Linked DNA regions of Mus musculus. The protein of the gene in region 1 binds, or shares a complex with, the protein of each later gene. Links are inferred from orthologs where the notes say so. Each region holds a gene or a part of one and is shown in the gene's direction. Other genes may lie near its edges.

Evidence for each region. Proteins that work in one complex are often made in the same cells at the same time.
Region 2: Snrpd2 (region 1) and Gemin4 share a complex: the UniProt entries of both Homo sapiens proteins name them as parts of the SMN-Sm complex. The link is inferred for Mus musculus from reciprocal best matches to the Homo sapiens genes SNRPD2 and GEMIN4.

What each region holds. Positions count from the first base shown.
Region 1 is NC_000073.6:19,147,660-19,153,261, forward strand, and holds Snrpd2 (small nuclear ribonucleoprotein Sm D2), read left to right. Parts: upstream 1-2,178; 5' UTR 2,179-2,233; coding exon 2,234-2,235; intron 2,236-3,558; coding exon 3,559-3,738; intron 3,739-4,816; coding exon 4,817-4,991; 3' UTR 4,992-5,067; downstream 5,068-5,602. Other genes in the region: Qpctl (glutaminyl-peptide cyclotransferase-like protein), read right to left, coding at 717-860, 1,317-1,526. UniProt on the Homo sapiens protein: Plays a role in pre-mRNA splicing as a core component of the spliceosomal U1, U2, U4 and U5 small nuclear ribonucleoproteins (snRNPs), the building blocks of the spliceosome.
Region 2 is NC_000077.6:76,211,435-76,215,235, reverse strand, and holds part of Gemin4 (gem-associated protein 4), read left to right. Parts: intron 1-525; exon of another isoform or gene 526-980; intron 981-1,292; exon of another isoform or gene 1,293-1,312; coding exon 1,313-3,801. UniProt on the Homo sapiens protein: The SMN complex catalyzes the assembly of small nuclear ribonucleoproteins (snRNPs), the building blocks of the spliceosome, and thereby plays an important role in the splicing of cellular pre-mRNAs.

The sequences.
Region 1 (5,602 bases):
TGCTGAGGGTCGGTCCCGGGTTTCCTGAATGATGCTTTTACAGCCACAGCCACAGCCCCCACTGGTGAATACTCGGCAAACTTTCTACCATTGAGCCACACCCCCATCCTCACATTGCATGATTCTAAGCATGTGGGGACATGCTCTAAGTTCCTCTTAAAACGTTCTCACTATCTGCCAAGCCTGTTTTAGGATCCCTATGAAATCAACGATATCAGTGACTGTCCCCATTTTGAAGATGAGGAAGCTGAGTCCCAAAGAGGTTAAGAAGTTAGTCCAACTAAAGTGGATCCTAAACACAGTATCTGAATGGCACCACACCACTAATTCTGAAGCCAACCTTCTTGGATTTTAATTCTAATTAGCTGTGGGACTTGGACAAAATGTAAAAACTTCAGTTTCCTCATCTGTATAGTGGAGATTATATTAGTTCAGACCTCACCAGAGAGTACACTGCTTCTGCCTAATATAGGATAATATTTAGTGGGGGTCGTATAGTGCGGGATTTGTGTACCACCAAGAGAATCTAGTCAGGTTCACCTGCCGCTGCAGCCACCACCACCACCACTCCCCTACCCGCCTACTCCCCATCTCTGTCCCCCGACCCCCATCAGATCACTTCTGCCTCCTGGCTGTTTTGGGATCTTCGGAGCCTGAGTTCCATTTCCTGACAAACTGGGGAAAGGAAGTTGGGGGTTGACAATAAAACCCTTTACCTTTCTCACTTGGAGATTGCCAGAACTACCCGGGGGTCGCACAATCAATAAGGGACGCAGGAAAGTTCCCCAGAGACGCTGCGGATCCAGCTGCCCTACCACCAGCCGCAGCTTGGCTTCTGAAAGGCTTCCGATCAGCGGGACCTTGGTTGGGAAATGGGATGGGAAAAAGAAAAATGAAAACAACCCCATTCCCACCTTATCCTGGGCGCCGTTGCCTACTAGGAGTCCTGGCTCTTCCTGGTAATGCAAATCTCCAGCATCAAAGATTTCCTAGACTGGGAGAAATCTTCAAAGCAAATCTGGTCCAGCCTACCGCAGTCCTAACGAGGAAATTGCAATCGGGTGATGGAAATTTCTAAATAGATGGCTTGGGCATAGAACTCAGTTCTACCAGTGTTGCTATGAGGACTCGTCATCTTCAGTGGGGTCTATCACAAAACAAGCCTGAAGCCTTATTTTGTTGGGTAGGGGCACGCGCTCAAGTCATGGATAAATGGCACAGGCGGCAAAAGCCAAATGATAAGACCACGGTAACCTGAGACTCAATACGAAGGGAAAGAGGGAAATGACGCTGGCTGGGCACCAGCCAGGGCTCACCCGCAGATCCCGGCTCCGTGACATCTCCTCAACCCCAGGGTGCCAGCTGTTCCAGACGATATAGAAAGCCAAGCCCATAGCCAGCGCCAGCAGCAGCAGGGGCAGGAACTGCACTCGCGGCAGAAGACGGCGCTTGGAAAGTGAGGGTGGTTTCATGAGGCCACGATCCTCGAGCCGCTGCCGGGGCCGCCCGCGGCTCCCGGGACTCATGGTAGCTTTGCTCTGAAACCAATCCCGGTATGGTGGTTTGAGTTTTAGGCCAAGATCCGCCTCGCTGAGGTTACAAAACCCAATAAAGAAGCAGAGTAACTGCGTCCTTCCCTGAGACGATTGCGATTGGCTGTCCTAAGCGCCGCCCCACCCAAAAAGGAGGGCGGAAACCTTAAGGCCCGCCTCCACGGAAGAGGACCAGTCAATGGGCTGCGTCCGAATGTGCGAAACCTTCCAAGGCGCGGGGTCACGCCCCTCACGGAAGTCGATCAAGAAACTGTCGTTCAAGGAAAAAAGGGGCGGCATCCATCCCTAAAACAAGGAGCCGATTGGTTTACCTGAAGCCATGCCCTCAAGAAAAGTGTCCGAGGGTATTTGGAAATGGGGTTGTGTTTTCCATCTTCCAACTGGACGGTTTGACGGGAAAATAATTCTAGTCAGACCCCGTATTATTTTCCTCATGAGCAGACACCCTATTGTGATCCTCAGAAGCTTCAAATCCTCCTTATAGGCATTTTCTACAGGAGAGTGCAGCCTGAAGGGTCGCTATGGTAACAGGCCACGCCCACAGCCGCTGGTATTTGGTTGCGCAGGCGCCGACGGAAGTGAGCCGCAGGAGACGGAAGTCCCGCCCTTCTCGCCCTGTACGCCAAAGGCTGGAGCAACGCGCTTGGAGGCGGGAGTGATCTGCGAGCGAAACCTACACCATGTGAGGCCGGGCTGGGCTTTGGCGGGGCCGTGGAGATGGAGGTGGACAGTTTAGCTGAATAACGGTCGAAATGGGGTGTTTTTATAGCTGAGGGTAGAGTTCCTCGGGCAAAAGTAATGTTTTTCCTTCTGGGGTATTTGAGATCGGGCTTGGGGCCTCGCTCGGATCTTGAGTTCCGGAGAGGGGACAGCTTTATTCCATAACGGGCATGAGACTCTCCGAGGTCCTGAGTCTTGTGGAAAGGAACCATAAAGGGAAAGCTGAGTCTGATGGCACATGCCTGGAATCCCAGGCCTCGAGAGGCTGATGCAGGAGGTTCGCTAGTTGGCCTTGGCCAGCTTCATAGCGAGACCGCTTCCAAAAGTAATAGTAATTTTAAATGGAAGTGGTCTTATGAATAAAGAGCTTGGCGGGGAAGGAAGAACTGTTAGAAATAGTGAAAAGTATGGGACGTAACCAGGATAAATTAGAGAACCTAACTAGAGACTGTCAGAGTAGCAGGGTACTACAGTGGTTTGGTGCGTGTTTATTCATTGAGCATATACTATGTAGACTGCTTGTAAGTTAAGACACATGGTAAATAAAAGGTCCTTGCCTCCAAGGGGGTGGGGGAATCTCCCTGGTGCTTGTAAAAAGAGTGGAGTAGGAAAGCCATAGAGTAATAAATAGGTACATACACCTTAGATAATCAGGTTTGGATGGAGAATTGAGCAGGAAAGATATAATGCCAGTAGGTAGCACAGTAGGATGCATTGAAAGCCCAGTTCTTGGGATGCAGATTTAGCTCAGTGGACAGAGTACTTACCTACTGTGGGTACTGGGTTTGGTCCTTAACCACACACAAACTAGACATAGTGGCACGTGCCTGTACTCCCAATACTCAGGAGGCAGAGACAAGTCTGAGTTCTGGGGCAGCCAGGCTTCTACAGTGAGATGTTGTGGGGTGGGGCGGAGGTTCATGGAGAGAGATGATTGAAGTTTAGGTTGCGGATAGAAAGGGCCAAGGTTTGGATGTACCATGGTGGCAGATGACAAGATATAAGGATAGAGTAAGGTTTGAAAGAAGAATCAACTGCCAGGCATGATGGTGAGCCTCTGTCATCTCAGACCTTAGGCAGTGGAGTCAGGAGAATTGAGAATTCAAGGTCAGCGGTGGGTGGAAGAGGTTAGGTAGATGAGCCGGGGCAGGCTACCATGGAAATGTCTCTCCTGCCTCCAGAAAAGACTGCACCAGAAAGGGGGCTGGGGAGACACTGGACAGTGTGGCTTTGATCACGTACATTTCCAACTTGAACCCATCTCACCCCTGGGTTCTCTATCCAGGAGTCTCCTCAATAAACCCAAGAGTGAGATGACCCCAGAGGAGCTGCAGAAGCGGGAGGAGGAGGAATTCAACACAGGTCCCCTCTCAGTGCTCACGCAGTCGGTCAAGAACAACACGCAAGTGCTCATTAACTGTCGCAACAACAAGAAGCTGCTGGGCCGGGTGAAGGCCTTTGACAGGTGAGTGCTGTCTTGGGGAGGGCTGGGTCTGGGTCCGAGGGGCCTGAAGGAAAGGTCATTCCAGAAGGATAATAAGGTGGGCACACACGGTGACAAAGCACCTTTAATCTCAGCACTCGGGGAATCACTATGAGTTGGAGGCCAGCCAGTGTCTCATGGCACGACCTAGCTCAAAAATGTAGAAAGTGGCGATGCTTAACCTTTTTATAATACATATCTTACGTGTTTAGGTGTTTTGTCTGCATATGAGTCTGTATGCTATGGACATGTCTAGTAGTTATCAGAATCCCCTGGCAGGAAATTGGACTGGAATTTCGATATTTGATTTGTTTATCTGTAGACCAGACATCAGTGTCAAATATCTTGTATTGCTTTGTAGTTTGTTTTGAGACAGGGTCTTTACTATGTAGCTCGAACTGGCTACAGATGTGGCAGAGGCTAACCTTACACTTCTAATCCTCCTGCTCCCATCTCCCGAGCGCTGGGATTACAGGATTGCATGAAGCATGCCGTCCTGCTTTATTGTTTTAGTTAGCATGGGACTTGCCTTGTGACTTAGCCATACACATCTGGCACTGTACTTTGCTCTTATTCACTGTCCTCAAGCAAGCATTTGTGGAAAGAACTGATCCAAGTGTGAACAATGGCCACCCGGCCCCATGAGGACAGGACTGTGCAGCACTGGAGTGCGCGTGTTGGGAGCCGTGTCTAACCCCAGCACCCTAAGACCCTCTGGAGGGAGCAAGTGCTTCTCTCCTGCTGTTTCTCTCAGAGTTAGAGTTAACGCCAGAGCCAGGGCCATTTTGGTGGGCTTTACTCTGCTGGGTCCTGAGTTCTTTATTCATCCAATCTTCACACCAGCCCTATGAAATAGACTGTCTCCATTTCATGAAGGGGGAAACTGAGGCACAGAAGGGACACTATAAAGTGAAATCACTTTGCAGCCTGCCCATCCCCACTGTGGAGCCTGGGCTTTCCTTATGCCTGCTGCTGGAGAGTTCACACAGTGCCAGGCAAAGGTGGGCACTCGGAATGCCCCCCCTTACTCCAGCTTCCCCCCCCACCCCTACCCCATCAGGCACTGCAACATGGTGCTGGAAAATGTGAAGGAGATGTGGACTGAGGTTCCCAAGAGCGGCAAGGGCAAGAAGAAATCCAAGCCTGTCAACAAGGACCGCTACATCTCCAAGATGTTCCTGCGCGGGGACTCGGTCATCGTGGTGCTGCGGAACCCACTCATCGCTGGCAAGTAGAGCCTGCTCCCTGCCCTGCGAAGGCCTGCAGAACCCTGCCCAGTGGGCGAGAAATAAAACCCTGTGCTTTTTGGTTTTTATGTTTTCCAGTGGTCTTCTCTGCTCTTGGGTCTTAAAAGAGTGTGTTGGGCTGAGCACTAGGACAGGGCCTGTGGGTGCTGCGGTATATAACAGCCCTGTCTGCAAAGGAGACAGTTTAATTGGACTTTTGTGTATTGTGGACAGAGGGATTCTCTGACAATGTGCAAGTGGGAAAGGGAAGCCTATTTAAGAGGCTCGTGGAGGACCCAGGGCCTTCTGCTCTACCCACAACTCTGTCTATCTGGTATCTCTGTCTGTGTCCTCCCAGGCGATCATGGGCTGGAGGTCAGGAGTCTCTGCCCTCTTTACATGTATATAAAACATGTATGGGTGTTTTGCCTGGATGTGTCTGTTCTTGGTACCCATAGGAGCCAGAAAAGGAGAGTTGGATGCCCCTAGAGGTAGTTACATGTGGTGGTGAGGCAGCCATGTGGGTGCTGGGAAAAAAACCTGGGTCTTCTACAAGAGCAACAAGTGCTCTTAACTGTTAAGCCATCTCTCTGGCCCTTTAGCTGTCCTCTTTCTTTTTT
Region 2 (3,801 bases), on another chromosome or scaffold:
CCAGAACCTTCACCAGCTTGTCCTTTTTGACTGGAAGAAACTGCTGGGTGAACTTTTTCCCTGTAAGGCACAGAATGTTGAAACTTGTTGAAGCAGGAGTGTGCTTAGAAAGAAGGAAGGCAGGGCTCCGGATACAGCTCAGTGGTAGAGTGCTTGCCTGTTACATGCAAGGCTCTGAGTTCAAAAACAGGCTTAACTGAGTGTGGTGGCACAGGCTTTTGATCTCAGCACTCAGGATGTAGAGGCAGACAGATCTGAGTTCAAAGCTATCCAGTTCATAATGAGACCCTGTCTCAGAAACAACCAAAAACACTAAGACAATAAGCACCTCCCATCCCCCAAAGACTACCTATTGTATCTTCCATAGTCTGCCATCACTGGACTCAGTTTTGTTTAGGTTTTTTGTTTGTTTGTTTTTTAATTACATTCTTGGTGTGTATGTGTGGATACCACGGTGCACAAGTGTCAGTCAGAAGACAGCTTGTAGAGGTTACCATATCAGTTCTAGGGCTCAAACTCAGGTCATCAAGCTTGGTGGCAGATATCTTTAATCATGAGCCATGCTGCTGGCCTCTGTCATGTCTTTAATGCATATGTGGTAGCACTGTCCCCTATCCTCTACTCACTGTAACCTCAGCAGTCCAGTTGTCCTCTTCACACTTTGCTGAGGAATCTTAGTCACTTCCTTGATTTTCATGCACTTCTCCGAGTTGGTACTGCCTACACTCACATCAGGCCTTTTCTCCTTCACGCATTGCCATTGCTGAAGGACATCACTAAATGTTCTACCTCAGACTCTAGGTAACAGCACTGAACTTGTCTTCCCTTAAAGCTTGTCCTGAGGGGCCACGAGCGATGACTCTGTAGTTAAGAGCACATATGTTTCTTGTAGAAGTCCAGAGTTTAGTTCTCAGCAACCACACCAGTAGGCTCAGTCCAGCTCCAGAGGACCCAGCATCCTCTTCTGGCCTCTGTGGAAGCTGCATTCATATGCACAAACCCCCACAGATACAAACACATTATTAAAATAGAATTTTGTAAACACTTGAAAGCCTGTTCTGAATCCCTCTCTGCCTCCTATTTCCAGAGGTGCCATTGTCCTGATATCCAGGCCAAAGATCTTAGAAACTGGTTTTTTGTTCCTCGGCCAAGACCTTTTGACCCCAGCCCTTTGTGAGCTCTTACTAACCATGCCTTCCCCTCCCATTGATGTCAAGACCGTAGCCGAAATGATAGCCATCCGATGGCTGTTTCCTTCTCCTAGCTTCTCGCTAATCTGATGACTTCATTACCTCTTGGCTTCTCTGTGCAGGACCCTTGAATATCTGTGAGGAGATGACTATTCTGCATGGGGGCTTCTTGATGGCTGAGCAGCTGTTCCACCCCAAAGCCCTGGTACAGTTGACCAAGTCTGATTGGGAACACGTGGGACAGCCCATTGTGGAGGCCTTGAAGGAGATCTCCTCAGCCACAGCACATTCCCAGCCCTTTGCCTGGAAGAAGAAAGCACTGATCATCATCTGGACCAAGGTTCTTCAGCCCTCCCCTGTCAGCCCTTCTGACACTGATACTCGGTGGCAGGAAGATGTATTCTTCTCCGTGGGCAACATGATCCCTACCATCAACCACACAGTCCTTTTTGAGCTGCTCAAGTCTCTGGAAGCTTCTGGACTCTTCATTCAGCTGCTAATGGCCTTGCCTACCACCATTGGCCGCTCAGAACTACAGAGCTTCCTGGAGCACATGACTGTTGACACATCTTCCAAGGATGTGGCCTTCTTCTTAGATGTCTGGTGGGAAATGATGAAGCACAAGGGCGACCAGCAGGACCCCTTGCTTTCCCAGTTCAGGACGATGGCCCATAAATACTTGCCATCCTCAGATGAGTTTTCCCATCCTCCAAAGAGGTTTAAGTCTGACCCAGATGTGGGTCCCACCATGCCTCTTTTGGCCATGTTGCTTAACGGGCTGAAGCAGATCCAAAAGAGAATCCTGTCCCTTGGAATGAAGTGCTGTGCCTTAGCTAACTTGGCTGACATGCTGAGTGTGTTTGCACTTCTGGAGGATGACACCCAGGAGGTGTCGGCCACCGTGTACCTAGACAAACTAGCTACAGTGATCTCTGTGTGGAACTCGGACACCCAGAACCCATACCATCGACAGGCCCTGGCAGACAAGGTAAAGGAGGCAGAGCGAGATGTGAGTCTCACCTCACTGGCCAAACTCCCCAGCGAGACTGTTTTCATGGGGTTTGAGCTTATGTACAACCTGCTGCAAGAGTGGGGTGCAGAACTGCAGGACATGCTCAACAGCAGTCAGGGAACAAATTATGACACTTACCGGCTGTGTGACAGCCTGACTTCCTTCAGCCAGAACTTGGAGCTCTACCTGGATACTACCAACATGCCCAAGGAGGAGAGGGAGGTGGTCTCAGAATTGGCTGAGTGTGTCAGGGACTTCCTGAGGAAAACCAGCAGAATGCTGAATGACAAGGGCCTTGAGGACATCACTGCCTCCATTGCCATGGCCATCATTGAGCAGAAGATGGACCGGCACATGGAAATGTGCTACATTTTTGCTTCTGAGAAGAAGTGGGCCTTTTCAGACGAGTGGGTTGCCTGCCTGGTTAACAACAGGTCTCTCTTCAGAGAACCAGACTTGGTCTTGAGTCTGCTAGAAACAGTGATGGAAGTCATCAGCTCTGATCGGGTTATCCCCCAGCCTCAGATCAAGCAGGTAATCTGCTTGACCCTGGAATGCTATGAAGACCTCTCTCTTCCAGACAAAAATAAAGTTCTTTCTGGTGTCCTGCATTATTTGGGGCCAAAGGGTCTCTCAGACAGGTTGTCTGATTACTTGGAGGGTTTTCAGGAAGACCTCAACACGACGTTTAACCAGCTCGCACAGAGTACCTCTGAACAGGGCCTGGCTAAAGCTGTGGCCTCCGTGGCCCACCTGGTGATCCTGAACCCAGAAGTTGTGGTGAAGAAGATGTGTAGCCTAGCTGTGACCAATCTTGGCACACATAGGTTCTTGGCTCAGATTCTCACTGCCTTCCCTGCTCTGAAGTTCACGGAAGAACAAGGGGCAAATCCATGTACCAGTTTCATGGTGTCTTGCCTCAAAGAAACTGTCTGGACCAAGTTCTCCACACCCAAAGAAGAGAAGCAGTTTCTGGAGCTGGTAAGCTGCCTGACGAATCCTGTGAAGCCACAGGGGATTCCAGTGGCTGCTCTTCTGGAGCCAGATGAGGTGCTCAAGGAGTTTGTCCTGCCTTTCTTGATGTTGGACATGGAGGAGGTGGGCCTGAGTCTGAAGCTCTTCATCCAGACCCTCGAAGCCAATGCAGGCCTGGAAGAGTATTGGCTGCAGACCTGCTCCCCATTCCCTCTGCTCTTCAGCCTGTGCCAGCTCCTGGACAGCTTCAGCAAGTTCTGGCAGCTCCCCCGGGAGAAGCGCTACCTCACGCTGGACAGCAAGGATCTTGTGACCCACATTCTGGAACTCCTCTGTGAGATCGTGCTAGCCAACACAGAAACCTTCTCCCCAGACACCTGGGCCAAGTCCCTGTCCTGGCTCCACCGCAAATTAGACCAGCTAGATTGGACTGTGGGCCTGAGACTAAAGAACTTCTTTGAAGGCCACTTCAAGTGTGAGGTGCCAGCTACCCTTTTTGATATCTGTAAGCTCTCTGAGGCCCAGTGGACCTCACAGGTCCACGAAGGGTATGGGCCTGGCACGGGCCTTCTCGCCTGGATGGAGTGCTGTTCAGTCTCCAGCAGTATCTCTGACCAGATGCTT